3 linked regions of the Danio rerio genome follow. The protein of the gene in region 3 interacts with the protein of the main gene of each other region in a biochemical or structural test. Links are inferred from orthologs where the notes say so. Each region holds a gene or a part of one and is shown on either strand. Other genes may lie near its edges.

Region 1 (10,207 bases), on a different chromosome or scaffold from region 3:
GTGGCCATACCTATTCTCAGTTCTAAAGAAATTCAATATTGGCGATAGATGTCTTGGGTGGATAAAGTCTATGTATAGCAACCCGCAAGCCCAAATATGTGTAAATGGGACTCTGTCCGAAAAACTTGGTCTGCATAGAGGATGTCGGCAGGGATGCCCCCTGTCCCCGTTTTTATTTAATTTAGCCATCGAACCATTTGCAGAGGCCGTACGGCTCAGCAGTAAAATATCAGGGATTTGTATTGATAAAATAGAAAACAGAATTTCACTATATGCCGACGATATAATCCTGTACTTAAATAATCCAGAAAATTCAGTACCAGCAGCACTAGATCTGATAAATACATTTGGGAGAATATCAGGCTATAAAATTAATCTATCAAAGTCTAATGCATTTTTAATGAACATGCCAATTTCTAATAAGCTAAAGACCATCTCACCTTTCACCTGGTCTCAGACTGGATTTAAATATTTAGGGGTGAATGTTTCTCCTAATCTCAAAGATTTATTTCACATAAACTACCCCCCACTTATTAAAAAGATTAAGGAAGATTTGGAACATTGGAATTTGCTCCCCATTTCACTGCTTGGAAGAATTAATGTAATAAAAATGAATATATTACCAAGAATTAATTTTTTATTTCAATCCTTGCCCTGTTACTTAAATAAAGATTTTTTCAAAAATGTTAACAAACTGATAAGCTCTTTTATCTGGAAGAACTCTACACCCAGAATATCTTTTAAAACACTAACTAACACAAAAGAGAAAGGAGGGTTAGGCCTTCCTGACTTACAGTTATACTATTGGTCTGCGCAGATAAAGGGGATGATTGGTTGGATACAACCATCAAGAACTGCTCACTGGACAGATATTGAAGAAGCTCTTTGCTCACCTATACCTCTGACATCTCTTCCTTTCATTAACAATATGGGAAAATTACCCCCAGTGACAAGAACCTATGTTATCCACAACATTCTTCGGGCCTGGCAAGATGCAAAAAGGTTTTGTGGTTTCTCTGCTAAAATATCTATGCTAGCCCCTCTGTCCCCTAACCCAGATTTGCCACCCTCGCTTGGGAAATCTTTGTTTATAAAGTGGAAAGAACATGGTATATGTCAGTTCCGAGATCTGTTTATCAATGATACTCTTAAATCCTTCATAGACTTAAGGCAAGAGTTCAAGATACCAAGACAGGATTTTTATAAATATCTGCAAATTCGCCATTTGATAATTAGTCACGAAAAGAGAGGTCAACTATCCCTAAAGCTGTCCAATATAGAGGAGATTTTGGTGAACTCTGAATCTTTAAAAGGAAAAATCTCGGAGATATATTCTGCACTATTAGAATATTACAACTCTTCACTGGGATCACTTAAAAACGTGTGGCAAAGAGATTTGGGATATAATTTTAATGACGATCAGTGGGAGGCTATATGCCAGAATACTTTCATTCCCCTTTCCAATAACAGAATAATTGAACAAAATTATAAATTTATACATAGGATGTATCTGACCCCACTGCGTTTGAGCAAAATGTACCCTAATGTATCACCCAGGTGTCACAGATGTAAAACCTATTTAGGATCAATCATGCATGTTTTTTGGGAATGCAAAAAGCTAAAATTTTTCTGGAAAGCAGTACAGGACTTTACAGCCAAAGCTTTGCAAGTTCCATTGGACAACACACCAACACTATACCTCTTTGGTACAGAACTGAACAAGACACTTGATCCTATTTCTATAAAGAGACTCGGCATCATCTCCTATCTAGCAAAAAAATGCATTTTGCTCAACTGGAACCAACAAAAACCTCCAACATTTGAACTCTTTATAAAACTCTTGAATGAAACAATGCCCTTGGAACAATATACATACTACTTAAAAAACAAAGGGGATGCCTTTCAAAAAATATGGATGCCTCTAATGATTCTCTGACTCTATGAACACATCTGATGTATTTTCACAATATGTGTGACCTTAATCACTGCATAACTTTGTGTATTATGTTTTATTTTTATTTTTTTTGGTATTTTGTTGGTATGTTTATTTATTTCTTTATTATTATTATTTTGAAATAATTTATTTATAGATTTTTTTTTTTTCTCTTTGCCTTTTGCTGCTATATTTGTCTACTGATATATTTGTCTTTGGCCTTTTTTGTTTACGTTTGTATGTTCATTAAAACCAATAAAAAAAAAAAAAAAAAAAAAAAAAAAAGTGTCGTTCAGTCGATGATGTTTGGAGTAAAGATTAACTTCTAAATTAAAATAAACGAAAATACAGCACAATTCACTGGTTTATATAAACTCAAAGCTCTCCCGCGTGCATGTTCAGGAACATTCACTGACTGTGTCCACAAAAGAAAAGGAAAACCGGCTTTCTCTCTAGAAGTTGGGGAGCGCCCTCTACAGGAACCCATTGGTGACTACACTGTTTGGTAAACCCATTTCTATGGGGGTTACATTTATATTCACCGTTTTATTTAGGGAAACTCTTCAGATAAATAAGTGATATCTCTGAACTTTAATAATAAATCGAAACAAAATGCTGCGCTTCCCACCTCCAGTCGCAATGATTTTCGGGAATTCTAGAGTGCACAAGAACACGGGGACACAAGACCGCTGATGAACGCATATTCAGAAACAGCCCATCTCTCAATCATTAGCATAGGATGTTAGTCTTGTTTTTGAATCTGCCACTATGCTGACACACAGGCATTTGTAGCTCCGCCCACTTTTGAAAAAAAAGTACAATGTAAAGTAAAATGTAAATGTCGATTTGAATGTAAATCGACAGTCAACAAAACAACACAATTAGGATCAAAGCCTAAAAGGGTCAGTTTCAGAGAGTTAGAAAACATTATTTCTGTGGTATATTGAGCTGAACTTTACACACACACACACACACACTCTAGAGACATTTTTTACATCATGTAAACAAGCATTTTTCAGGTAATCCAACAATTGTAAATATTAGTCAAAGATTACACAAGTAAACACAATAAAGGTTTTAATATTAAGGGAAAACAAAACACATTGTATATCGTTTTTAAAGTTATTTCAAGAGTTCGCCCTTAGCTGATGATTGATTATGGAGCGTGTTTGGCATGCTGTCCTGGGAGAGAGCCCTGAGCTCGTGATATCCTCGAGCCCGTGGCACCCTCTCCACCTATCCCCAACCCCCCACCCCCTATTGCAGGGTGTCTTTGCTGTCAATTTAGATTTGTCAATTTACTTATGTTACATGATTTTGGTCTCCGTGCTGCCCTGACAAGGAAATAGGAGGAGTAGGGGTGGAAGGGGGGATTCTTTAAGATGAAGATGGCTGAAGTAAGATACTTTGGTTATTTATAGGGGTTAAGGAGTCGTCTGATGGGCAAATCAGTGTTAGCTAATGTGAACCAGGTGCTATCAATCATAAGCGCGTGCTCCTCTCGAAATTAGTTTATAAATAAACTTCACTGAATGATTTAAGTAATTTAAATACAGTTTTAATTTTGTAATTAGTAGCGCTGTTAAAATTAACGCGTTAACGCATGCGATTAATTTTAAATAATTAACGCGTTAAAAAAAATTAACGCAATTAACGCATGCAGGTTTTTTTTCCTTCCTTTCAAGAGTTCACACTTAGCTTATAATCAATAAAGCGTATTTGGCATGCTGTCCCGGGAGAGAGCCCTGAGCTCGTAATATCCTCGAGCCCGGGGCTCCCTCCCGTTAGAAGGGCGAGAGGGGAATTTGAGGTCAGGTAGGTCTCGAGAACTCCCCTGCTTGTCACCGTGGGAAGTGTAAACTAAGGTTGTATTGGGTGATAATTTGTTTTAGTCGATTGGCTATGGTTTATGTTTTTGGACGGTGGGAGGAAACCGGGGATCCCGGGGAAAACCCACGCGAACACGGGGAGAACATGCAAACTCCACACAGAAACACCAACCAGCCCGATGGGTTGGACTAGCGGTGTTCTTGCTGTGAGGTAACAGTGCTAGCCACTGGGCAAACGTGTCGCCCGATCAGAAAAAGTGGGAGGATTTAGGGGTGGAAAGGGGGGGGAGATTCAAGACGAAGATAACTGGAGTGAAAAACTCAGGTTATTTATAATGCTTCTGTAATCATCTAATAGGGTTGATTACGGAGCTAACAAGGAGCCAGCCGTGTTAATTATAAGCACGTGATCCTCTCGAAATTAGTTTATGAATAAACCACACGTTGTGGTGGACGTGTGTTCAACATGTAATAAATGTGGATAAGACCAAGGAAGCACTTTTTGAAGGCAAGTTCAGTATAAAACAATTAGTTGCATCACAGGTTATCCAGAGTTTCATGCAATTTCGGGTGTTTCATTTTTAACTTTCGACATCTGTTGTAAGTTGATACCGCATGGCGAACAGAAAGAAAATCCTCCGCATTTCGTGACTCGGTGTTCCTTTACGGTAAGGTTCCTTTTAAGGCTACACGGTAGAATTTTAAGAGTATTATCTTAATCATATTAAAATCGGAGTATTGGTGTCTTATGTAAATGTACTCAGTACGTCTGGTGAAGTCGCGAGCTGTCAAAGACAGGGCATTACTCTGCCTTTCAGCATGAGCCCTCCAAGCTTAGCTCATGCTTCATTAAAAAAAGTTTCATTAAACGCAACGAAAGCGTATGCTTCGCGTTGTTGTGTCAGAATCCTTGTGAAATACAGTAATACTTTAGGGCGCTTAGTTTAAGCGAATTTGATGAACGTGATCATGCGTGTTGAATCTGAGGGGAGTCGCTCCAGTATGGAAGGCCGTTGGGGCCAAAACGTCTGCAGCGCGTTGTGTGTGTGTCTGAGTGTGTGTGTCTGTGTCAGGCATGTTGAGGGGTGTCAGGGGTGGAGTGAGCGACGTATCTGAGTAGGGGCGAGAGGGGTGTGCAATGTATTTAACGACCGGTTTGCAAGAAATTATCATTCATTTGCGGGCATTTGGGAGTCTCTGTGCACTTGCAGGATACTCCTAGTCTTAGCAACTGGATGAATGTAAAGGAGGATTAAGCAAAATTGTTTCTACTCTATAATTAATGTTCTCAACTCACAGCAATAAAACTTTACAATGAGTGCAACAGTTTGTATTCAATAGTTTATTATTATAATTTTTCATTTTCCTCATCTGCAATTCCTGTATTTTGGCATTTTTTTGCAGTCCACTAAGAATCCAACATGGAAATCAATGTTTTCTTTATTGGCATTGATTGTTTTGAAATTTAAATGTCATTAACATGACTGTGTTTTAATTTCTGTAATAAATATGGCTGTCAAGCCAGGATCTTGATTGTTTATTGTGGGTTTGTTGTTTGCATGAAGAAATCTGTGTTGCAAGTTAAACAAAAATTCTATTAAACAATTATATTTTGAATTTAAATAGTTTTTGTCTTGTGTTTAAATTAATTTTACATTTAAATAGCCAAAATTACAAGTTTCAGTATTTTAAATGCGATTAATTTTTTTAAAAAGGTGCGATTAATTAGTTAATTTTTTTAATCGATTGACAGCACTAGTAATTAGTCATTAGTAGGCCCACACGGAATCTGCGCAGCCATTGCAATTCAGCAGATTTTCCGCATATTTTTAGCCCATCATTAATTCTGTTTATTTACTTTTGTAAATGTGTGTAAATCTATATTTATTCAGTTTTTAAATTACAGGAACTAATGTGAAAATGTTCATCTGATTTATGTACAATGCAGTTTGTAAAGTCTTTTGGTAGATATATTATATGTATTATATGAGAGACTTGCCACCAAGTAAAGTGGATCTAATTGGATTTGCATTTTAAACTTTAAATAAAAGTTAAAAAGATATTATTTGTTATTTGACGTATTAATATTTTAGTTATGATAATCCCAAAATAATTCCGCAGAAATCTGCAGATTTTTAACAAAATACTGCGCAGAAATATCAAATAGCGTCCACAGATTCCGTCTGGCACTAGTCATTTGTAATTAATTACTTTTTGGAGCACTGCTCCTACACAATGTGTGTGTTTGTGCGAGACTCACCTTGTGTGTGTGTTTCAGAGTAAAGTTCGCAGTCCAGTGAGTGGCAGTCCAGACGGAGGGCGAACTCCACCGGCCCCTACACCCCAGCTGATGTCCCACAGACCCTCACATCCCAGCAGCCCCCCATCAGACGGCCCACACACGTGAGTCCAGAGACACTGACTGTGTTTCCATACACATATCAGAGCTCAACGCTAACAATTTTTTCTGCTGGCACGATCAGGGCAGTTGTTCAGATTTTTACTTGCCCTGCCAAAATTTTCACTGGCCCCACCAAAAAAAAGAGAAGTTAATAGCTATTTCTTTAGCCACATATTATAAATAATGTGTCAAAAGCCAAACATAACTTCAACATAACTTTTCTTTAAATACAACTAACAATTTAAAAAAATACAATTGAGATGTAAATTAAAAAAAAATAATAATAATTATATATATGAGCAATATCACACGAGTAGCAGTGCAATATGGCTGTATATCAGCACTGGTGGGAGGCATGCGTTGGCACGAGGCTGCAGGCCAAGTGTCTTAGTGTCCCACCAGTGCTGATTTACAGCCACATCGCACTGCTACTTGTGTAATATTGCGTTTATACAACAGTTCGACGGCACAATCGTATTTTAAAAAAAAAAGAAAATCAAACACGGAGAGTCTAAAAACTCTTTTGTATTAGGAACTACTTTCTTCCGCCATTCATTCACATCAACAGCTGACGTCAGAACGGCAGAAGCCGTTACTAATTCACCAACTTAACAATAGAGCTAGTGTTTGAATGACTCTCTATAGCGTAATGTCTAAAGTGAAGACAAAGCAGCTGATTTTGCTCACATTTTAAGATTATAAGGCTGAAAGTGACATGAAATGCCATCCGTCTACAGAGATTTCTTCTCACAGTGTTACTGTCTACAGTATTTCTCTGTTGCAATTGGGATATCACAATAATTAACCATGAAAAAAAGCAACGCAATCACTACCAGACTGCTGTTGTGTTTGCGATAAGGAGGGGGTGTTCAGGGAGGTCTCTGAATAACACTGTTAAGGACCAGGATAGGAAAGTAACTGTATTAAAATAGGCACTGTACTTATAAATAAACTGCATACAATGTACAAATATAATACATAATATATAATATAATATATAATACAAATATATATATATTTTTTTTAAATTTACATCTCAATTGTAATTTTTTAAATTGTTAGTTGTATTTAAAGAAAAGTTATGTTGAAGTTATGTTTGGCTTTTGACACATTATTTATAATATGTGGCTAAAGAAATAGCTATTAACTTCTCTTTTTTTTGGTGGGGCCAGAGAAAATTTTGGCAGGGCAAGTAAAAATCTGAACAACTGATAGATGGGGACGCACTGTCTCTCAGAAATTAGAAGTATTTAAAATAGGCACTATCCTTATAAATAAACTGCATAGTTGCAATCTAAACAACTACATTCTCCACTAAAACAAAAACTCAAAGTTCATGATGTTGCCCAACAGCTGCAATATTTGCCAAACTGTAGTGAGTTTATTGATCGACTGTCACTCTATGTGGGCGGAGTAATACACAAAGGTGAAGAGGCTGTACGAGTGCTGTTATTGCAGAATATCACACTGCTATCAGCCAATCAGATTCGAGAACCAGACAGAACTGTTGTGTAAATATTTAAGTGAAAATGTGCACTTTAATTTTGATAGCCACGGACATCGTCACCAAATATAAATCAGAGAGGTCAGACTTTCTCATACATGGCCTTATTTCAGTTGTCAAGTTTGTAAAAATCTATCAATTGAATTAATTCATCTATTAAAAAAACCTGAAAAAAAATTCTGCATTATAGGCTTTCATTATAGAGAGAAATAACAGATGAACAGAGACTGCAGTCAGATCATGAAGCGGATCAATGTTGATCTTTCTGTCGAGGTGTCAGTGCAGAAATGCACAAAACAACAGGCCTAACACGAAATATAATGAGATTAAAATATGGAAAAATGATCAGATGATAAATTCTTTACATTTTCCTAACAGATAAAGAGCTCTTGTTAATATTTCAGCATGCTTTCACTTTTATATTTGACATGAAACACACATTTCCTGTAGGAATGACATCTCGCGCTGCTCATCATTCTCTCTTCATACAGCCGTATATATGGCTATTACACAATCATAAGACACTGGTGTAAAGTCTGGATCATTAGTTCGTTGGATCATTTTGCTTTTGATTCACTCCGAGTTCGTTTCAATCACCTCATTCAGGCGATCTCAGACCAATTGTTTCGATGTGGATCTGAGCGCAATTGCGGGAACCCCTCTAGCTGGGCAAACAAGGTGTGAAAGCGCCCTATTTGCACGCAATTGACAAACATTCACAGCCATAAAGTTTAGTGACAAGGCAGCACTGACCTGATCCGGCCAGTAACCATTCTGCCTACCTTTCCGAGCATCTCAGACGCTGGCTCTGGGCCATTATTGTCGAGCCCTGCATATTTTAATGCACATTTTGGAATACTGCATGAAATTGCTTGATCGAAACCCCAAGATATGCACATACATTACATACACGCAAACCCTTTAATTGGATACGACAAAATGCTCATAAACTAAGATGGACACACATTTAGTGAATAAACTCCAGCATGCGCATCAGTAACGCCCTGATTTAGTTTGAACAGATGATAGAAATGTGTGTTTCAGAGACTTTGCATTAATGGAGTTTGCAGCTTCACATTGTTGCAGATCTGAAATGTTGTTTTGCTGAGTGTAAAATGCTTCAGCCGTCAGTCCGTCATCATAGAGCTTCAGTATTACTATTGTTCTGTTATTATTCCCTCCAGAACTGTCTTGAGCATCTGCCTTTGCTCCCACAGAGCATCTCACGCCTCCAGAAGCCACCGCATTCACCGCGTTTATATCGTCTTTGTTTCTAAGACACAACTCATTTATTAGAGAAGAAAAACACCACGGTGGCTTCTCTACCGCACTAAACTATGTTTCCCTGTCTGATATTTGCTCCAGTTTATCAGGAAGTGATGATTTTATTCTCTTTGACTCATTGGATGGAAACGCTGCTTTATTCACTAATGTTTTATGAGATATTACAGATTTGAGCACAAGTTTGCATTGAAACATGACTTCTAACAAACACACTGCATTGATTCGCATGTTTCCGTCATGTGTTTCTCTCTCTCATTTGTGTGTGTGTGTGTGTGTGTGTGTGTGTTCAGCGAGGAGTCTCTGCATGTGATTGAGGAAAGCAGGATATTTGAGAACCGCCTGCAGAGTTTAGTGCAAGACACCATTCAGGAGACGGAGAGCAGCATGCAGGTGAGCAGCGAACTCACAAACACAACTACTGCACTTCATTACAAAGAGATGCTACTGGATGTTAAAGTAATAAACTGAATGTTTATTAGTGTCATTTATAAGAAATGTTGCACATCCTAAGTAATTATGATATACACTCACCGGCCACTTTATTAGGTACACTTTACTATTACCGGGTCTGACCGCCTTTTGCCTTCAGAACTGCCTTAATCCTTTGTGGAATAGATTCAACAAGCTACTGGAAATATTCCTCAGAGATTTTGCTCCATATTGACATGATAGCATCATGATCGCAGTTGCTGCAGATTTGTCGGCTGCACATCCATGATGCCAATCTCCCGTTCCACCACATCCCAAAGCTGCTCTATTGGATTGAGCTCTGGTGACTGTGGAGGCCATTTGTGTACATTGAACTCATTGTCATGTTCAAGAAACCAGTCTGAGATGATTCACGCTTCTGATATGGTGCATGATCATGCTGAAAGTAGCCATCAGAAGATGGAGACACTGTGCTCATAAAGGGATGGACATGGTCAGCAACAATACTCAGGTAGGCTGTGGTGTTGACATGATGCTTGATTGGTACTAATGGACCCAAAGTGTGTCAAGAAAATATCCCCCACACCATTACACCACCACCAGCCTGAACAGTTGATACAAGGCAGGATGGATCCATGCTTTCATGCTGTTGATGCCAAATTCTGACCCGACCATCTGAATGTGTCAGCAGAAATGGAGACTCATCAGAGCAGGCAGCGTTTCTCCAATCTTCTATTGTCCAGTTTTGGTGAGCCTGTGTGAATTGTAGCCTCAGTTTCCTGTTCTTAGCTGACAGGAGCGGCACCCGGTGTGCTCTTCTGCTGCTG
Region 2 (10,666 bases), on a different chromosome or scaffold from region 3:
CCATCCATCAAAATCTACTTTGAAGCACTGTTTAGTCGATGTTTCTTCACCCTCTCTCTGTCTCCTCCACTCCCTGCAGATGTTTCCTCGCATATGATTGGCTACTCACCTCCTCTTTAATGCTGGCCACCTCCTTCATCTCCTCCTCCACATCCTCTCCTCCTCCAGTGTTGAGACGGGCACGAAACCCTCCTCCAGCCCGCTCCTCCCACGCTCCCCCCGGCTTGCCTCCTGAGAAACAGACGGGAGGGGGAAGGAGGAGAGGAGAACAGGAGGGGGAGGGAGGAATGCAAAAGGAGGAGGAGAGGAAGGAGAAAGAAACATGAGAACTGAGGAGCAGGTCGCCATGATGGTTCTCGATAAAACAGCAGCATCACCCGCTGGATCTTACTTTGGAGATCCGCTTTGCGCGCTTTACGCACGGCGGTGTCCTCCGCGCCGAGCAGCCCCGCCGCGCGCCGACCGGCCGCCCAGCCCATGCCGTATTTGCGCTCATTCCTCAGTTTATTCTCAGTCAACCTCAGTCTCAATTTAAGAGCTTCGTTCTCTTTTCTGTTCAGGGAGATTTCCACCAGGTAGTCGTTGACTGTGTCCTGGAAGAGTTTGGTGATCTCGCACACTGACGCGCGGACCAGACTGTCCATAACCGCGGTCAGGTGCGCTTGGAAGGTTTTAACCGACTCCGCCATGGTTTCACAACTATTCACGTATAATAAATAAAGTTATGACTAACAAAATCCCCGTTTTTACGCCATATATGTCAGCAATGGTCAGACTTCATATTTAATATGCACGCTTCGCTATTACACCGAGTAAAATATACACAAATAATCTGACATCACCGACTGTCACCCAACTTTGTAGCGCTCAGCCAGTGGAGTGAAGCCCGTTCTTCTGTCCGCTGTCTTTAAGATCGCAGAAAGAGAGCCTTTAGAGGATGATATTCCACCTCAGGTGGTCTCGTAAATGTGGTCGTAGTTTAGAAAAGATTCTCGCTGATGTTTTACAGGTGCGTTATCACAATTCCACCGAGTCTCGACCACCCCTCTCAACTCTAGAGGTTTTAATTCTCGCCTACAATATTATTTCCGGATGTCGCGTTCTGCGCATGCGCAGGAGCTACCGTAATTACTCGAACATAACTGTCAAGGTGTTAACTGGTTAGCATGGGGTTTGGTTTAAATGCAAATACTGAATACAAAACAAAAAAAAGTACTATAATGTCATATCAATAATATGTGTTTGCTGTTTTCATGTGAAGTCTGCTGTTGTGATGCTTATTGTAACACAATTTGAGCTGCATAACTTGTTAGAAATGTGCTACACTACAAATATAAATTTTCCTTAAACTTAGTCCCTTTATTTATGAGGGATCACCACAGCGGAATGAACCGCCAACGTATCCAGCATATATTTTACATAGTAGATACCCCTGCAGCCCCAACCCATCACTGGGAAACACCCATACACACTCATTCACACCCATACACTACGGCCAATTTAGTTTATGCAATTCCCCTATAGTGCAATTCCCCTATAGCGCATGTGTTTGGACTGTGGGGGAAACCGGAGCACCCGGAGGAAACCCACACCAATACGGGGAGAACATGCAAACTCCATACAGAAATGCTAACCGACCCAGCTAGGACTCGAACCAGCGACCTTCTTGCTGTGAGGCGACATGCAGTGCTAACCACTGAGCCACCATGCCACCCACTAAAAATATATTTATTATAATAACGTAGTTTCAGGAGCTGATGAAAATAAATGTAATTAATTAATAAGCGTAACACTATATACGTAGCATATGTATGTATGTGTTAGCCATCTTGTTAATTTAATCGTAACGTATAACATATGTATATATATATTCGTTCATTTTCTTTTCAGCTTAGTCCCTTTATTAATCAGTGGTCGCCACAGCGGAATAAACTGCCAACTAATCCAGCATACGTTTTACGCAGCGGATGCCCTTCCAGCTGCAAGCCTTTACTGGGAAACACCCACGCACTCTCTTTCACACACATACACTAGCTAGAACATGCAAACTCCACACAAAAATGCCAACTCAGCTGGGGCTTGAACCAGCAACCTTCTTGCTGTGATATATATATATACATATATATATATATATATATATATATATATATATATATATATATATATATATATATATATATATATATATATATAAAATCTATCTATACATATATATATATATATCGTCAGCTTGGAATTATAAGGTTCTCTCTGCGTTCTGAATGATTTTGAGATATTGAGCTTAACAGTTTTTGCAATCTATAGCAAACAGTATGTGTGTAACATTTGCTTTTTAAATAAAAACTTTTACATCCCAAACATCCCATAATGTAAATAAGTTGTCATTTAATAAGCATGTCAATAACTCAATTTTTGACAAAAATTTATATATATACAGTATATATATATATATATATATATATATATATATATATATATATATATATATATATATATATATATATATATATAATTTATTTATTTATTTATTATTTTTGCAGTTGATTTGCAAATGATCTTTCATTAATATTTAGTTTCAGTTTCTGTCTTCATTAAACACTTAATCATTTATAATTTATATATTTTTAGCATTAAACTAAAATGCTATTACTATTATGTTCTCCTTTATTATTGTTTAGTTTCTGCAGTCTATTTGTCTGCACTTGCTGTATACAACTTTACCATGCATCATATTACAAGTGGAATTCATTTGTAATCTTTTTACATTTTATGATGCTGCTTTGCTTGTTTTGCTTGTTAATTATTATTTATTTTTAATGGGGCGGCACAGTGGCTCAGTGGTTAGCACTGTTGCATGTTCTCCCCGTGTTGGTGTGGGTTTCTTCCGGGTGCTCCAGTTTCTCCCACAGTCCAAACACATGCGCTACAGGGGAATTGATTAAACTAAATTGGCCGTAGTGTATGAGTGTGTGTGTGTGTGTGTGTGTGTGATTGAGTGTGTATGGATGTTTCCCAGTACTGGGTTGCAGCTGGAAGGGCATCCGCTGCCTAAAACATATGCTGGATAAGTTGGTGGTTCATTCCTCTGTGGCCACCCCTGATGAATAAAGAGACTAAGCTGAAGGAAAATTAATTAATTAATATATTATTAGTATTATTAATCAAATAGAAGTTTTGTCAGTGAAAGGGATAGTTCACCATAAAATTAAAAACCCTGTCATCATTTACAAACCAGTTTCTTTCTTCTGTTAAACACAAAATAAGATATTTTAAAAATTCTCAAATCCTGTAACCATTGAGTTTCATAGTATTTGTGTTTCTCTACTATAGAAGTCAATGGTTTCAGTTTTTTTTCTCAAATAATTTCTTTTAAGTAAGGTTTTGACTGAACTGTGCATGTAATAAAATAATAATCAAATCAAATGTAAATAGAAATTATATATTATAAAATTATTAGAAGTATAAAAAAACTATAAAAAATAATAAAGTTTATTCATAATTATTTACAGACAATAAATAACCGTTAATAAAACTTAATACTTAATTAATAAATAAAAAAACTGCAATTTTAGCCATTTATTTGTTTGTTATAGATGTTTACTGACGTTTATTTATGGTTATCTATGTCAAAGATGACAGTTTCCACATCTCGTGCTGCCCTGAGTGTACAGTCTGGGATACAGCTTCAGATACTCGCGTAAATATAGCATTTCATGAGTGTGAATGAGTGTGTATGGGTGTTTCCCAGTACTGGGTTGCAGCTGGACGGGCATCAGCTGTGTAAAACATGCTGGATACGTTGGTGGGTTTCTTTCTTCTGTTAAACACAAAATAACATCGCTGAACTCCTGTTTAACCATTGTGTTTCATAGTATTTTTTCTCTACTATCGAAGTCAATGGTTTAAATTTTCTCTTCTAAATAACTTATTTTAAGTAAGGTTTAGGCTGAACTGCGCCTTTAATAAAATAATAATCAAATCAAATGTAAATACAATTAAAAGAAATTATAAAAATATTAGAACTAAAAGAAACAATTAATAAAATAACACAGTTCATTCATAATTTTTTACAGTTAATAAATAAAAAAAAGTAATTTTTGTCATTTATTTAATTGTTTTAGTTGTTTACTGGCGTTTATTTATGGTTATTTATGTCAAAGAGGACATAGTGCTGCCCTGAGGGTACAGTCTTGGATACAGCTGCAGATACTCACATTAATACAGCATATCATGAGTGTGTATGGGTGTTTCCCAGTACTGGGTTGCAGCTGGAAGGGCATCCGCTGTGTGAAACATATGCTGGATAAGTTTGCGGTTCATTCCACTGTGGCCACCCCTGATGAAAAAAGGGACAAAGCCGAAGGAAAAGGGTAGATGTTGAAAAAGTAATAATGGGTAATTTAATAATAAACAATATGAAAAATACTCGATATAGCCTAACTGATTTTACATTACTGTGATGGTTGGGTTTATGGTTAAGGTATAGACGTTAGTAAAATACAATTAATGGGTAATTTAATAAATAATATAAATAAATAATCCTCTTTAACTTGCGTTCGCAGCTGTATCTCCTCTAGCAGCAACCGCTGCTGAGGCTGCATCAAATCTGCATCCTTATTTGGGTCACGCGGGGTTTTACGGTAGTCTACAAGAAGCACACTAGCTTCGCGTTATAATACCCGCCTCCTTCAACCTAGAGCCTCACATCTGGAGTCATTCCTGCAGGAGTTTGATCCTTCTGACTTGCACTTTTTTTGTAAAGTAGTTTTGTTCATCTCTGTCGCAGTCATGCCGATGTTTGTAGTGAACACAAATGTTGCTAAAGACTCGGTTCCGGCGGAGCTGCTGTCGGAGGCCACGCAGGAGCTCGCCAAAGCCATGGGCAAACCCCAGCAGGTTAGTTACCTACTTTATTTTACTTATTGCCGTATTTTATCGTATGACTTTGCATATTAGTTTAGATGGGATAGAAAACTGTAAGCACTGTTACGAGTTTCAAAACATACACGCTAGCGCAAGTTATCCTCTTAGCTGCAGCTTGAGGTCGACTCGGATTTTCGTTCTTAATTAAATTTAATCTTAAATTAAATATAGACAGATTATGCGTAATAATTAGTCTTGATTTAAGATGCTCAAGTGATTAGAAGGCAAACTAATTTCCGTGAATCAGTTCGATTAACCGAAAGAACCAGTTCAAAAAACGATTCATTGATTCTTTTACGTCATGACGCATTTGCGTTATCTCATTACACAGCACCACGTGCTTGTGTATTTCACTGATTTACTAGAACGTCATGTTGAACTTACTAATTATTCATTCATTTTCATTCAACTTAGTCCCCTTATTCATCAGCCACAGTGGAATGAACCACTTCCACCACCACACCATATCCAGCTTATGTTTTACACAGCGAATCCCCTTCCAGCTGCAACCCAGTACTGGGAAAGACCTATACACACTAATTCACACACACACATGCATTACGGCCAATTAAAATTTTTCAATTTACCTTTGGCACATGTGTTTTACTGTGGAGGAAACCGGAGCACCCAGAGGAAACCCATGCAAACACGGGGAGAACATGCAAACTCCTCACACAAATGCCAACTGGCCCAGTCGGTACTCGAACCAGCGACCTTCTTGCTGTGATGCCACAGTGCTAACTACTGAGCCACTGTGCTGCCTAACATCTAAAATTGTGTTATTTTAATTGCACTGTATTATAAAGTACTGAGCTGTAGTGTTTCTCTGTGTTTGTCTGTGTGACAGTACATCGCCGTACAGGTTGTGCCGGATCAGATGATGATGTTCGGGGGAAAAGGAGACCCGTGTGCGCTCTGCTCGCTCACCAGCATCGGGAAGATCAGCGGCGCGCAGAATAAACAATACTCCAAACTCCTCATGGGTTTACTCAACAAACACCTCGGCGTTTCTGCTGACAGGTACATTCACACTGATGGCCATTTTATTATGCACACATTTTAGCGTACAGTTGTGCGTACAGTTGCAGAATTATTAGCATTATTATAATTATTATTATTTTTTTTATAAAAAAATGTCCCCAATTTCTGTTTAATGGAGAGATTTTTTTTTTACAACACATTTCTAAACAAAACAGTTTTAATATCTCATTTCTTATAGCTTATTTATTTTATCTTTGCCATGATGACAGTAAGATACTAGTATTCAGCTTAAAGTGACATTTAGGGCCCTATCATACACCCGGCGCAGTGTGGCGCAAGGCGTGGCGCATTAGTCTTTTGGTAGTTTCAGCTTGGCGCAAGAGTCGTTTTGAGGCGTTGCGCTACGCTGTTTAAATAGCAAATGCATTAGCGCTCATTTGTGCGCTCATAGGCGTTCTGGTCTAAAAAGGAGGCGTTCTGAGTCGGACCGCTGGCGCGTTGCTATTTTGAGAATCTATAATAGATTTTTCATTAGACTAAAACTAACCCGGTCTAAACTCCGGCGCAGAGTTGCGCCTCGCTTACACACTGCTTAATAGCCTACACACAAGAGAGCAATAGGCAAATATTTTTACATGTGAAAAAATGTAAATATTAAGGATATATATAGGATATAATAATAATAGATATAGGATATAAATATAAAGGATTAAAATATTACAAAACATATTATTTTCTAGCCTACATAAATATGAAAAATCACTGCTTTTATGCCTTCTTCATCTCCGGAGGCTTTTTCAGTTCATTCATAACAATTTGCTTCTGTATAATGTTATTATTATTACCAGTATTATTTATTATATCCATATTTATATTTGTTTTATTATATGGGGCACAGCATGTGTTTTAGGATATAACTCAGGTTTTTGAGCACATTTTGCTATTATTGTTCATTTATTCGTTTGCTGGAAATTAGAACTGAATTTAGAAACAGTTTTGAAACAAATCTTTGCGCTTAACAAACAAAATTATTTATTTATAGACTAATTGATGTCTGTGCGTAAAGGTTTCCCTATTCAAGAGCGAATGTGAAAGTAGATCCATTATCTCTCATTCTCACGCAGTAGATGCTCTGTTTAACAGTTTTCTGTTAATAAACTGTTAACTGTGAACTGTTTGCTTGTGAAATGATCATTTTTTCCACTTAGACTTACTTTGCGTCCTGTAAATAGCGAATGCGCTCTTGGCGCGACGCAGCTGGCTCTTAAAGGGAATGGGAGATGAGACTCTGATTGGTTTATTCTCAAAACACACCTATAACTCATTAAGAAAATAAACTCAACCCTTTTAGACCATGCGCCGCGGGGCAGGGCAGATTTCCCGTCCTTAAATTAGCAAAAACGCGTCCTGACATGCCCTGAAAGCATTTGCGCCCTGCGTTTTGCGCTCTGCGCATGGACCGTCAAAATAGAGCCCTTAAAGACTTAACTGGGTTAATCAGGCAGGTTAGAGTAATTAGGCAAGTCATTGTATAACAGTGGTTTGTTCTGTAGACTATTAAATAAAATATTGCTTAAGGGAGCTAATAATATTGACCTTTAAAATGCTTTTAAAAAAAGTGCTTTTATTCTAGCTGAAATAAAACAAATAAGACTTTCTCCAGAAGAAATTTTATATCAAAAAGATATTGTAGGAAATACTGTGAAAAATTCCTGAATCCCCAGGAAACCCCTTTTCAGCAGGGTATTTTCACACCTCTAGTTTGGAAAAAGTCAGGAAAGGGGGTGTGTCCAGCTCTGTTTAGGTTGGAGTGTCGAGGGAGGGAAAGAGGGAAGATTTTGCATAAAAATGGGAGTTTCCATTTGGGCATGCGCTGATTTTCTCAGAGGCAAAACAACACATAGAAGCAGGGGAGAAAGACAGCGACTGTGTTTACATGGACATCAGTAATCAAATTATTATATTATTATAGGATGAATCTTTTGAAAAAATTCTGAGGTGGACTTGAACTGAAAGTTGGGAGTATCATGGCCCTTTAAACATGATTTGGGGAATATTTAAAAAAAAAAAAAGCAAAATTCACAGGTTGGCGAATCATTCTGACTTCAACATACAGCATATGTACATACAGCATACATACAGCATATTAAATGAAGTTACAGCCCTTATGAAAAAAATACTACACTAATTCTTAAAAGTCTGAACACATCTTGCATATCTTGGTGTACTCTGCAGGTAAGTGAGCTTGACAAACCCCCTGCAAAAAAAATGAAATTAAAATACAAGTTTTGACGTTTATATTTAGTAGCTCAGACTTATTATTATAGTGTATAAGGCCCAATCCTAATTCTATTTTTGTACCTTTACCCCCTTCCCCTCTGCCCATGAAAGTGTAAAGGGGAAGGGGAAGATCTGTCTGTCTGTCCATCCACACATCTGTCCACCTATCTATCTATCTATCTATCTATCTATCTATCTATCTATCTATCTATCTATCTATCTATCTATCTATCTATCTATCTATCTATCTATCTATCTATCTATCTATCTATCTATCTATCTATCTATCTATCTATCTATCTATCTACCTAATCACCCATCCACCCATCCACCCATCCATCTATCTATCTATCTATCTATCTATCTATCTATCTATCTATCTATCTATCTATCTATCTATCTATCTATCTATCTATCTATCTATCTATCTATCTATCTAATCACCCATCCACCCATCCACCCATCCACCCATCCATCTATCTATCTATCTATCTATCTATCTATCTATCTATCTATCTATCTAATCACCCATCCACCCATCTATCTATCTATCTATCTATCTATCTATCTATCTATCTATCTATCTATCTATCTATCTATCTATCTATCTATCTATCTATCTATCTAATCACCCATCCACCCATCTATCTATCTATCTATCTATCTATCTATCTATCTATCTATCTATCTATCTATCTATCTATCTATCTATCTATCTATCTATCTATCTATCTATCTACCTAATCACCCATCCACCCATCCACCCATCTATCTATCTATCTATCTATCTATCTATCTATCTATCTATCTATCTATCTATCTATCTATCTATCTATCTATCTATCTATCTATCTATCTATCTACCTAATCACCCATCCACCCATCTATCTATCTATCTATCTATCTATCTATCTATCTATCTATCTATCTATCTATCTATCTATCTATCTATCTATCTATCTATCTATCTATCTATCTATCTAATCACCCATCTATCTATCTATCTATCTATCTATCTATCTATCTATCTATCTATCTATCTATCTATCTATCTATCTATCTATCTATCTACTCATCTATCTATCTATCTATCTATCTATCTATCTATCTATCTATCTATCTATCTATCTATCTATCTATCTATCTATCTATCTACTCACCTATCTATCTATCTATCTATCTATCTATCTATCTATCTATCTATCTATCTATCTATCTATCTATCTATCTATCTAATCACCCATCCACCCATCTATCTATCTATCTATCTATCTATCTATCTATCTATCTATCTATCTATCTATCTCTGTCGGTCCGTCCCTTCGTCTATCTATTCATCTATTTACAGTTTATTTTTTTCTGTCCATCCATCCATCCATCCATCCATCGGTCTACCTATCTATCCATCCATCCATCCATCCATTCACAGTTTCTATCTGTTCGTCCGCCTGTCTATCTATCCATCTATCTACAGTTTATTTCTATCTATCTGTCTGTATCTGTCTGTGTCTGTCTATGTATCAATCGCTTTACTACCAACAAAAATTTATTTTAAGTCAATATATTTCAAAATGTACCCCTAAGTAATGGGACAGCACTAAAACACCTGCACATGTCATTATATGGCGGTTCATACTGCTGTGGAGACCCCTGATAAATAAGGAACTAAGGCAAAGGAAAATCAATGAATTTATTTGCTATTGGTTGTTTTGCATGTAGCAGATGTGTGTTTAATAAAACTGTCTTGTGTTTTTCTTGTTTTAGGATCTATATAAACTTTGTTGACATGGATCCAGCCAATGTGGCCTGGAACAACAGCACCTTTGGATAAATATGATGGATGTATGGCCTGATATAAGGCTGCGCTTTGTCATTCCAGCTGTTGAGAGTTTAATGCCATCAGTCGATTGAGTCTTAACACACAGCACTTACGGCAGACAGCATCTTGCTTTGACAATAAAGTTTCCTTTAAACTGTAAATGAGATGTGTTGTTTATTTTTATTATGCAAATATTCTGGGATTAAATAGATTTGATATTGTCTAAATAAAATCTAAATAATGAGTATTAACACATTCCTTCTTTTTGTTTTCGGCTTAGTCTCTTTATTAATCTGGGGTCGCCACAGCGGAATGAACCACCAACTTATGCACCATATGTTTTACACAGCGGATGCCCTTCCAGCTGCAACCCATCACTGGGAAACATCCATACATAGTCATTCACACACACACACTGTAGTGACACAAATGACCATTTTGTCACTTGAGGTGTTGTAGGGTTGTTTCTGACGCGTGAGAGCTCAACAAACGAATCATCCTCCAAATACTGCTTATCAGATTTATTTTTTGCACAGACAGTTCTTATGGTTCAATTTCCACTCACAGTCTGATATATAAATGCTCATAAAATCACATTGAATGCCTCAATAAAGCTCTTTCAAACACGGTCAAAAAATGTTGTGCTTCCCTCTAATTACACAC
Region 3 (10,691 bases):
TGAATACATTATCAGTATGATGAAGATGATCCACCATGATGGACATTTCAGCAAGACAATGATCCAAAACAGAGCCAAGGAAACTCAAATAGTTTTAGAGAAAGATAATCAAGCTGTAGAATGGCCCAGCCAATCACCTGAACTGAATCCGATATAATATACAAAATAAACATCAGATTTGATAGACGAGACCCACAGAACCATCAAGATTTTTACATCCTGTTGAACATTGTGAAAAACTCACACCTGAGCAATTCATGGGACTTTATTCTCCATATAAGAGGCATCTTTAAGCTGCCATCACCAAAAAAAGCCTTTTGTATAAAGTATTACATACGGTTCAGTAGTTCAGAACTTTCTCCTTGTGTCATTTCATTGTTGTCACACATAACTCATTTTTCAGGTTTTTGTTGTATTTTTATGTTTGTATTATTGAGGTTTTTACCAAAATCTGTTTCAATTCCATGTCAACAGCTCCTTTAGATATATATTATTCTCAGGAAACATCAAGTCTTTAATGCTTATTTTCCCCGCTGCATTGATATAAACAACTAGTGGAAAAAAATAGAGACAACTTGAAAATTCTCAGTTTATCAGGATTTTTAGGGTTTCTGTAAAAAAAATATTTGTTTTATTTTATAAAGTTCTGCTAACATTTCTTTTAAACTTACATACAAATATTGTAATTTCTAGCATTTTTTTACATATCAATGACAATATGCATTGAAAAGCTACACATAATAAATGAATATGAAGTGATTGCACAAGAGCGTCCTACCTTCACTTCATCAAACACCCATGTGTCGAGTCTGGAAGCATCAGTGGAGGCGAAGTCCTCTCGCTCTGGAGGGTAAGTGTGAGTGTAGACATGGTCTCCAGTGGCACCTACAAAACACACATGCTGATAAGACCACCAGATAAAAACAACATGCTTCCCCAGACCAACTCGTAGGTGTGTGGTTATACCTTTAGCAAACATTGGCAATATATCAGGGCTTCCCCAACACCAGGTATATCTGCTCTCATTAAAGACAGAATCAAACTCCACTGGATTCTCCTTCCAGCCTGGAAACACAGGCGCACATGATTGATTTTACACACATAGAAAGCTAGATACAAACACAGATATGACTGCTTACCCTTGGCAACAGCACTAACGTCCTCATAAAAGCCTGCTATTAGAGCGACATGTCCTGGGCGTGATTCAGTAGGGACCCGTGTGTGTGAAACTCCCCATGTGCCGCCCTCTTCAATCACACTCCTTATGACAGGAAACAGCATGAAGGAAAAAAAAAGCACAAATAAATAAAACAATATACCTGTATACACCAAGGGCCTTATTATACACCCGGCGCAATTAGGCGCAAGATGTGTTTGCCGTGGTTTGTTCCAATTTTCAGACCAGTGCAAACCTAATTTTCATGTTTTTGGGCCATGTTGTTTAAATAGCAAATCCATTTTTGCCACTTTGTGGACTCATGAGTGTTCAGCTCTATAAGGGGGGTGCATTAAGGAGCTTTGTTGGAGCGCTGCTATTTTGAGGAACTGAAATATTCTGCGCCACTAACCAAGTCCAGCGCATATGCCATTCCAAAAACACGTACACATTACTTAATACACACAGGATGTGCAGCAATACACAAATATGAAAAAATTTAAGGATTAAAATATTACAAAAATTAATATTTTCTTTATAAATATAACAACCACTACCTCCATGCCCTCTTCACCTTGGGGGGCTTTTTGTATAATTTGCATTTGTATGATGTTAAATTATTAATACTAATATTTATTATACACAAATTTATATTTGTTTTAACAAAGGTTTAGATTTGTCCACCTGTCAGGTTATGGAGACGTATGCAACACCATATGGGGCATAAGAATAGTATGTGTGTTTGGATATAGCTCAGATTTTTGACTACACTTTGTTATTATTGTTAATTTATTCCTTTGCGGGAAATTAGAACTGAATTTAGAAATAGTTCTGAAACAAATCTCTGTGCTTAACAAACGAAATTAAATATGTAGTTTGTGCAACACCGTTTCCTTGTCCACGAAAGTAAATGAGTAAGGTTAAGAGTAAAGTAAAATAAAGAGAAAGTAAAGAGGTCGAATGGAGGTGGCTCATTCTTTATCCTTGAACAGATGGTCTGTTTAACTGTTTTCTCGCTAGTAAAGCATTCAGTTTTTCCACTTACAAAGTTCATCATGTAAATGATGTAAAACGCACCCTGGCATGACGCAACTGACTCTTAAAGGAAATGGGAGATCAGACTTTCAAACAGAGATTGTTTAAATGCACGTTATGCTCAAAACACACCCAGAACTCATTAAGAGAATAAGCACAACCCTGTTAGACCAAACTGTACTGATCTGTCCTTAAAATAGCAAAAGTGGATTCAGTCACGCCCTTAATGCTTTTGTGCCATGCGCTTTAGACTTTGCCCCTAAATTGTTAAAATAGAGGCCCTAATGTATGACAGGCATAAACTGGTGGGAAGGGGAGCTCATTAGTGGTCCTTAAGATGACGTTAAAGTAAAAAGAAATATGGTAAAATTAATAGTAATACTTTACAATAAGGTACATTAGTTCATGCATTTACTAACATGAACAAATAATAACAACACATACAGTATTAAATGCAGCTTTGTTAACTCTAATTAATGGCAATAAAGTTATGTAATCTTAGTTCACATTAACTCACTGTATTAAACAATGTTAACAAGCATGAATTAGGATTTTAATAACGCATTAGTAAATGCTGAACTATGATTAATAAATGCTGTACAAGTATTGTTCATTATTATTAGTTCATGTTAGTAAATACATAAACATTTAACTAATGAAACATTATTGTAAAGTGTGATCAGAAAAACTTTATCCAACAGAATAATGAATAAATAAATACATGCATAAAATGTAATTAGTAAATTAAGTTGTACTATATGCATTTTATTTAGTGTAAACTAAATTAAGTAGTTTTACCTATAAAATACATATCTATTTTGTTTGTTTTTACACAATATACTGTATGAGGATGTGTTTTTGTAAAAATGTAACTTCTACTATGCTATTAAATAGATTTAACACTTAGATACATATAACTCTGAATGAATGAATGAATGAATGAATGAATGAATGAATGAATGAATGAATGAATGAATGAATGAATGAATGAATGGAATATTAAATGCAATGCTTAGGTGAATTTTTTTTTTTTTTATGAAATCATGAAGGATGGTGAATATTTTTAACATTAAGCATGACTAATAGATATTATTTAGACATTAATGACTAACATAAACAATTCTGAACTCTCTGGAGCACATGGGTAAACAGGACAAAGATTATCCAGTGTTCGTCACCTTAGGTAAGGAGCCCTGGATGTCCCACTGTCGTCTGGCTTAAAGAGGCTGTCGGCCCTCAAACCATCTGCCACAAACAGCACCAGGCGCTTGGCCGGAGGGGGCAGAGAGACCCGCTGAGGAGTCATTCCATGGACAAGAGGAGATGTGAAATAAATGTCAAATATGCAGAGAAAGAAGACTACATGCACAATGAGTCCCACAACGAAGAATGTCACCATCTTCATCTTGTCTCCAGTCAGACCTTTGACACTGATTTACAAAAAGAAGATACACAAATGAATTTATGAAAACATTCTGTTATTAGTCTAATAGATTTTTATTATGAATTAGTTTTACATTAGCAGGACAGTAGGTTCAAATAAGTTATATTGTACAACATTTTTTTAAAAGTAACGTTAGGGGTTTATTTAAGATTGTACTTACCTTTCTGCTAATTTGAGATTGAAACAGATTCATAAAGCTGATTAGTTGAAGGTGGACAGAAGACATATAAAGGTATCATGTAACGTTAATCTGTCAATGAAAGCACCGGGCAGAGCAGGAGTGCGCGGGAACGAAACGCCCTGAAGCAAAACCCGCGCATGGGCTTTTAATCTGTTTTAAGGTGCTTTTGTATCTTTGAGTTCTGACCTGCTAAACCAAATAGTTTGTAAGAAGATTAACTGAGAACTTTTCTGCACTTCCTTGTAGCAGTAACCTTTGAACTGTGTCTGCGCAGTGCATTTTGGGAAATGTAGTTTTTAACGCCACGTTAATATTTTCATAAAAACAAAAGAGGTGCTTTAAAATGCCAGCGAGTTTATGACTGTTTACAACTTTATTTGATTCAACTGAAATTTCTCCCTTTTTACAATAAAAAATTGCACAAAAAAAATAAAAAAATAAAAATTTAGAATAAAATATATAAAAAGAAACGTAAATTTTAAATGCTTTAAACAATAAATTAGTTTAAAATAAACAATCAAACATTATATTGAGATATAAAATAAAAAATAAACAATTTAATAATTGTAAAAAATAATGAAATAACTGACACAAATATGAGTACATAACATATTATAAATTATCCAACATGCAATTTTTAAAAATATTAAAACAATTGACAAATAAAGACAAATAAATACAAGTTTAATTAAAGAGGATAATTATTTTTTAAGAAAGTAAATGTGTTAATAATTAATATATTCAGAAATACAATATCATAATTCTATAATATAATACAAATAGAAATAGACCAAATATGACCTCTATTATTTGCAAATAATTAGGTAGATCAATTTTTAACACTATTTTGTCACATTACGAAGTGGGTCATTAAACAGAAATGACATAGATCGAACCATATCTTAGATAAACAACTAAACAAAAACGAATATATCAAGAAACAGTGGCGGTGCCATAGACTGTAAAACAGTAGCGGTCGGTTTGCGTTCAGGACTCTTATTTTGGCATCAATTTTATTCCTTAGTAACCCGTACGGTCGCTCGCTTCGCTTCACTCAGGTTGTAGAGTTGTTCAGAAAAGGAGTACTGCAAGAGCTTTGTTAATTATTGCTAAATGATCTATTTAAATAGTTAGATAAACTACACAATTTTAACATTATCTAGCTCTTCATATTTTATTAATTGCGAGTGTTATTAATCATACTTCGTTATAGTCGAACAGAAGATATAAGCCGACTGTAGTATTAGCTATGGCTGGCAGTAGCATAGCGATGAAAACATGGGAGCTGTCAAACAGCATGCAGGAAGTTCAGAGTATCGACGAAATATATAAATATGACAAAAAACAACAACAAGAAATTCTGGCGGCCAAACCGTGGACTAAAGAGTAAGTAAACAAAACCAAAATGATGTCTCCTAGAGGCCCGGCTTGTTTTCGAATTATTAATACCACTGTTGTGTAACCTACACTGTTTTAATTGTTTACAGTCATCATTATTTTAAATACTGCAAGCTATCGGCGTTGGCACTGCTGAAGATGGTGATGCACGCTAGATCTGGAGGAAACCTGGAGGTGATGGGACTTATGCTGGGGAAGGTGGATGGAGAGACCATGATCATCATGGACAGTTTTGCTTTACCAGTGGAAGGCACTGAAACCAGAGTCAACGCTCAGGCTGCAGCCTATGAATACATGGCTGCTTATATAGAGAATGCTAAACAGGTACACTGACTTATAATTACTCTAAAATTCATATTAGATGAATAGTGATAAATATAAGCACAGTTTGTTTATAAACATGATCATATCCACTGCTTTATATGTGGAGCATGTATGCTGATCTTTAAGATTTTCTAATCAAGAGCAATATCATCACAAATATTTTATTAATTGTTATTTATAATTATTCTGCATTACGTTTTTAGGATTGATCCAATGTTATGTGAGAAGCTACATGTTGTGGTTACCTTTTTAAAACGTGTATATAAAAATTACAATTTAAAGAGTAAAGAAAGTTATTGGTTTGTATTCTGTTTTCATGTTTAGGATTAATAGAGAGAATATATGAAGTAGTTGGACATCTAAATATGTATCGCATCACAGAACCATTTAAATCTAATAAACTCGAATGTGATTTAAAAAAAAATCTAAAATAAAAAGTGAACAGTTACCAGAACTAAAATAAACATGAATTGTATTCCTATACTCCTCTAAAAATCATCCTAGATCTTTTATAATTATTATTTATTTAGTCTTTACTTTCTAATATTAATTGAGAGACGGAACAGAATTCTTGTCACAGGACTTGAAACAAAAAGAAATTGAATGCTATTAAATTAAAAAGGTCTATTTGGAAAGAATGTATAGTTTTCGATACGTTGACATTCTAATGTAAGGGAGTGGGTCCACATAAAATATAATAAACCAATACAGTAGAGAACAAATAGAAAATAAAAGGCAAATAAAATATACAGTGCTTTATGATTTTCTAGAAGTCTAGCAATATTCAGATTTACAAATTTAATAATCCAGTGTGAAACCATTCTAACCATAAAGTTAGAAATGTAATTTCTTTTGCTAGAGTAAATGGTGAAAACGCACAGAAATAGTGAAGGTTTTGGTAACTTTATGGTTGAACGTTGCAATGACTGCACACATCATGAGTGTTTTCAAATGTGGTTCCTGGTCAATTATAATAACGGTTCGACATTGCAGATCCTGCGATGTGACTATTGCAGATGCGCACATTGCGGTATCAATTTTAAAACAGTATATTATGCAGCCCTATTATATAAATATAATTTTTTTTTTTTTTTTATTCAGTTTTCATACTTTACTATTGAGGGACTGCATGCAGTAAGGACACAGATGTGTTTATCACATCAAAGTAATTAATAAATACTACAAAAAATTTAAATACTTAACAGATGCAATACAGGAACAGAAATGAACAAGCAAATTAATTTTTTACTCTAACAATATTTTAAAGATTTTTTATTATTATAATTATCATTAATATTATTATTATTCAGATTGAAAGGTCTAATATTAATTGAGATATATTTGCCATTAAATATGATTTTAAAAATAAAATAAAAAATAAAATTTGACAAGCGACAGGAACTCAAAAATGCACTTTATAAATGTATAAACACATTATGCATCAATTCGCAATAACCAGCATATGAAAGAATTGATATGGAAGTTCAATAATTCTGAGGTTAATTGTCTATATATTTATTTAGGTGGGGCGGTTGGAGAATGCCATTGGATGGTACCACAGTCATCCAGGATACGGCTGCTGGCTTTCAGGCATAGATGTCAGCACTCAGATGCTTAACCAGCAGTTTCAAGAGCCCTTTGTCGCAGTAGTGGTAAGCGCTGTTGGAAATGTTAAACTTGTTGCATATTTTGCTGATTTCCCTCTTTAAAGCGGGTTACCATCCATCTCAAAAGACACAAGGGGAAAACAGCTCCGCTATGAAATAGTTAAAAGTATCGGTTTAAATTCAGCTTTATCAGTGATCCATAATTGACCCTCAAGACACAAATGAGTTGATGACATTTGTACTGCTGTCTGATTAATGACTGTTGCCTTTGTAACAGAATACATTATACAGTTTATCCTTCATTGCTTATGTAGTGCCGAGGGCAAATAGCAAGCTGGCGTTCATAACTTTCACTCGCAAAACTGGCAGCTTACTGTTTTTATTTGTTATATTTGACTGAACTCTTTTGCTAATTTCAGTCCTTGTAATTTTTCATCCTCAGATCGATCCCACAAGGACTATATCCGCAGGGAAGGTCAATCTTGGAGCTTTCAGGACATATCCGAAGGTAGCAACTATTTTTAGGCAACTGTATCTAATTTATATGCGTTTTATAAGATGTTGAATCACATTCAAATGTTTAAAAATAGGGTTACAAGCCTCCAGATGAGGGTCCTTCTGAATACCAGACGATACCTCTTAACAAAATTGAGGATTTTGGAGTGCATTGCAAACAGTAAGTGTGCATGACATATTGAATATATTTCCTTTTTTTTAGCCTTTTTATGCACTTGTTATATTTTGAAAATATATTGACTTGCAGTTAACGATAAGCTGTTGTTTGTTTTTAGGTATTATGCATTAGAAGTGTCTTATTTTAAGTCTTCCCTGGACCGCAAACTCCTAGAGCTGCTGTGGAATAAGTATTGGGTCAACACTTTGAGCTCCTCAAGCCTACTGACAGTAAGCACACACTTTTATTGGTGTAAAATTAATATATATTACATTTAGATATGTGCCAACATCATCTGTCATGTTGGATTACTTAATATAAACGGCATAAATTTAAGTCTAGCCTTTTTTTTTTTTTGCTTGGAATTTGTTCTTAAATCAAAAAATGGCCTGAACCACTGTAAATTGTTACAAAAATATAAATACAAAAAATCCAAAATCTGAATTTCTGACCAGTTTCTAAAAACATCTACAGTAAATGTGATGAAGGGTGACAATATAGCTTTTATGAAGCAGGCATGCATGTATTCATTTCTATTATATAAGAGATTGCAAATACAATGAAAAATTGAGGAGCATAGAAAATCACTTTCAACCTTTTCCCTGTAAATTGTTTAAATTAAAGGGCTTCAGTTCTGAAAGCTACATTATGTTAATTTTAGTTTAAACATTATTATCTTTTCTGCTTGGCACAGAAAGGAAATTTGTCTTTTACACTGGTAACATAAATAAACCGTACAACAATAACATAATAGCAACACTCTTCAAGACAACCATATTAGCCCCATACATATTACTCCAGATTATTCTTAACAACCGCACCGTTCACATTAAACAGTGGTAAGGTTTAATACAACTGCAATAGGGATAAATGACTTCTTATAAGTATTTCTTCATGTTCCATGCATTTTAAGCTTGGTCCCGATGGTAACATTTCAAAAGCTGAGTGAAGGGGATCTGTATTATCTTTAAAAATCACAATTGCTGTTTTTCCCATAAAGGAGTCAAATAAAATCTGTAACGAATGTTGTATGTAAACTGTTTTTGCAATTAAACTGTCAGTTACATTTAGTCATTTAGCAGACACTTTCATCCAAAGCGACTTACAAATGAGGACAAGGAAGCAATTTACACAACTATAAGAGCAACAATGAATAAGTGCTGTAGGCAAGTTTCAGGTGTGTAAAGACAGTGTAAGAAGCAAAACATTAGTACAAGAAGCAAAACATTAGTACAATAATCTCTGCAAAATAAAGTTTTTACAAAGAAGAGAAAAGAATGATTTCAAAATCTGTTGTCCCCAAAAAAGCATTTCCAATGAGAAATTAACCCTCAAATTTTTGCCAAAATAAAGCAAAGTAAAAACAGCATAAATATAATTTTTTTCTCATTTTATAGTTCTATTATTAAGGCTGCATGATGTTGGACTAAAACTCATATTGCAATATTTAGTTTGTCTGCAATGTATATTGCGATAGTAACATACAGTGCTCAGCATATATATGTACACCCTTCACAAATCTGTCTTTTAAATTTTTAATAGGAAGCTTTACAATAATATATGTGTGCATAAACATTAGACTAGTCTGTACTGAAGTCAAATCTGGAGCTTGTCTAACAAAATAACTTACGATAACGGTCCAAAAACTAGTACAGTCAAATTCATATGTTATAAAAAATATTAAATACAAATTTTAAAACAGAAAAAAAAATTAAGTGAAACAAAAAAAAACTGAAAATTTTTGTTGAAATTTTGTAGGTAATAAATATAAATATTTTTTGCATTAATTTGCTTAAATTTAATTGTATTATCTTACAATTTGTAAACATGTTTGGTGACTAAAATATTCTTTTAATAAATATATCTGTTTTATAAATCTGTTTTGTTTAAATGCACCAAAATACATTGCCTATATTTACTGAGAAATGGATACAAATATTCAAAATGGGGTGTATTCAATTATGCTGAGCACTGTAAGTTCACAAGATGGCGTATAACTCCATTTGGAATGAATTCATGTTTTTACATTTTGTACAGTTTTACATTTTGTATTGAACAAATATAAATTCATGTGATGGTTTTCTGCGGAATCTAATAGTATTAAGGTATAGAAATTTTATAATAACAGATAAAATAACAATGTATAGTGTACAGTCTTCATAGTACAAGTAGTTAAATACAATTCATTTTGGTTTATATACCTTTATAACCTTTTGGTTTAGGTTTGCTTAAATCATACACAGTCACAGGTCTTAAAAATTCATCTAAATGAAAATATTACACTCTATTTTAGGGTGAAACTTTGCAATGACTCCACAAATCCCATGTTCAGAACTGTGATGCTGATCAACTACAAACTTGACATTGCATATCCTGCGATATGAATATTGCTGATTCACACATTGCAAAATTGATGTTGAAACAGTATATTGTGCAGCCCTATTATACATGCAATTGTATATTGTTATAATTCAATTATTTAATGATTATTATTATTATTATTATTATTATTATTATGAACTTAAAGATTAATTTAAGTAATTTCACAGTTTTCACTCAGCAGCCATTGGCTAGAGTGTAAAGTAGTTTTGGGCATTATATATAGAAAGAAAGAATGTATATATTAATAATAATAATAGAAATATTATACTTGTATTAATCTTTTTGTCACTTTGCTAATATTCCAAAATCATCTCTTCTTTCTCCTGTTAAGATATTCACATATTTATTATCCTGGAGCTTTGCATTCCTAACGGTTTAAGCATTTTAGGAGATTGCAAATATGGCAGGGGGGCTTGTTGACAACCTGTGCACATGATTAATATTTGTAGATGCTGCTTTTGTTTCCCTGCCTATTTGTTTTGAAAGCTTGT

What was found.
Region 1: of the proteins of cops5 (region 3) and ikbkb, one has a biochemical effect on the other in vitro, tested with the Homo sapiens proteins (2 studies listed by BioGRID). The link is inferred for Danio rerio from reciprocal best matches to the Homo sapiens genes COPS5 and IKBKB.
Region 2: the proteins of cops5 (region 3) and mif form a complex in vitro, tested with the Homo sapiens proteins (2 studies listed by BioGRID). The link is inferred for Danio rerio from reciprocal best matches to the Homo sapiens genes COPS5 and MIF.

The regions. Positions count from the first base shown.
Region 1 is NC_133183.1:3,624,853-3,635,059, forward strand, and holds part of ikbkb (inhibitor of nuclear factor kappa-B kinase subunit beta), read left to right. Parts: intron 1-6,040; coding exon 6,041-6,165; intron 6,166-9,241; coding exon 9,242-9,341; intron 9,342-10,207.
Region 2 is NC_133189.1:53,746,090-53,756,755, forward strand, and holds mif (macrophage migration inhibitory factor), read left to right. Parts: upstream 1-4,675; 5' UTR 4,676-4,788; coding exon 4,789-4,896; intron 4,897-5,770; coding exon 5,771-5,943; intron 5,944-9,948; coding exon 9,949-10,015; 3' UTR 10,016-10,164; downstream 10,165-10,666. Other genes in the region: uncharacterized protein si:dkeyp-121d2.7, read right to left, coding at 110-231, 392-689.
Region 3 is NC_133199.1:27,632,598-27,643,288, forward strand, and holds the start of cops5 (COP9 signalosome complex subunit 5), read left to right. Parts: upstream 1-4,885; 5' UTR 4,886-5,065; coding exon 5,066-5,202; intron 5,203-5,303; coding exon 5,304-5,538; intron 5,539-7,061; coding exon 7,062-7,190; intron 7,191-7,587; coding exon 7,588-7,653; intron 7,654-7,735; coding exon 7,736-7,821; intron 7,822-7,936; coding exon 7,937-8,048; intron 8,049-10,691. Other genes in the region: pign (GPI ethanolamine phosphate transferase 1), read right to left, coding at 779-885, 967-1,065, 1,140-1,261, 3,370-3,596. UniProt on the Homo sapiens protein: Probable protease subunit of the COP9 signalosome complex (CSN), a complex involved in various cellular and developmental processes.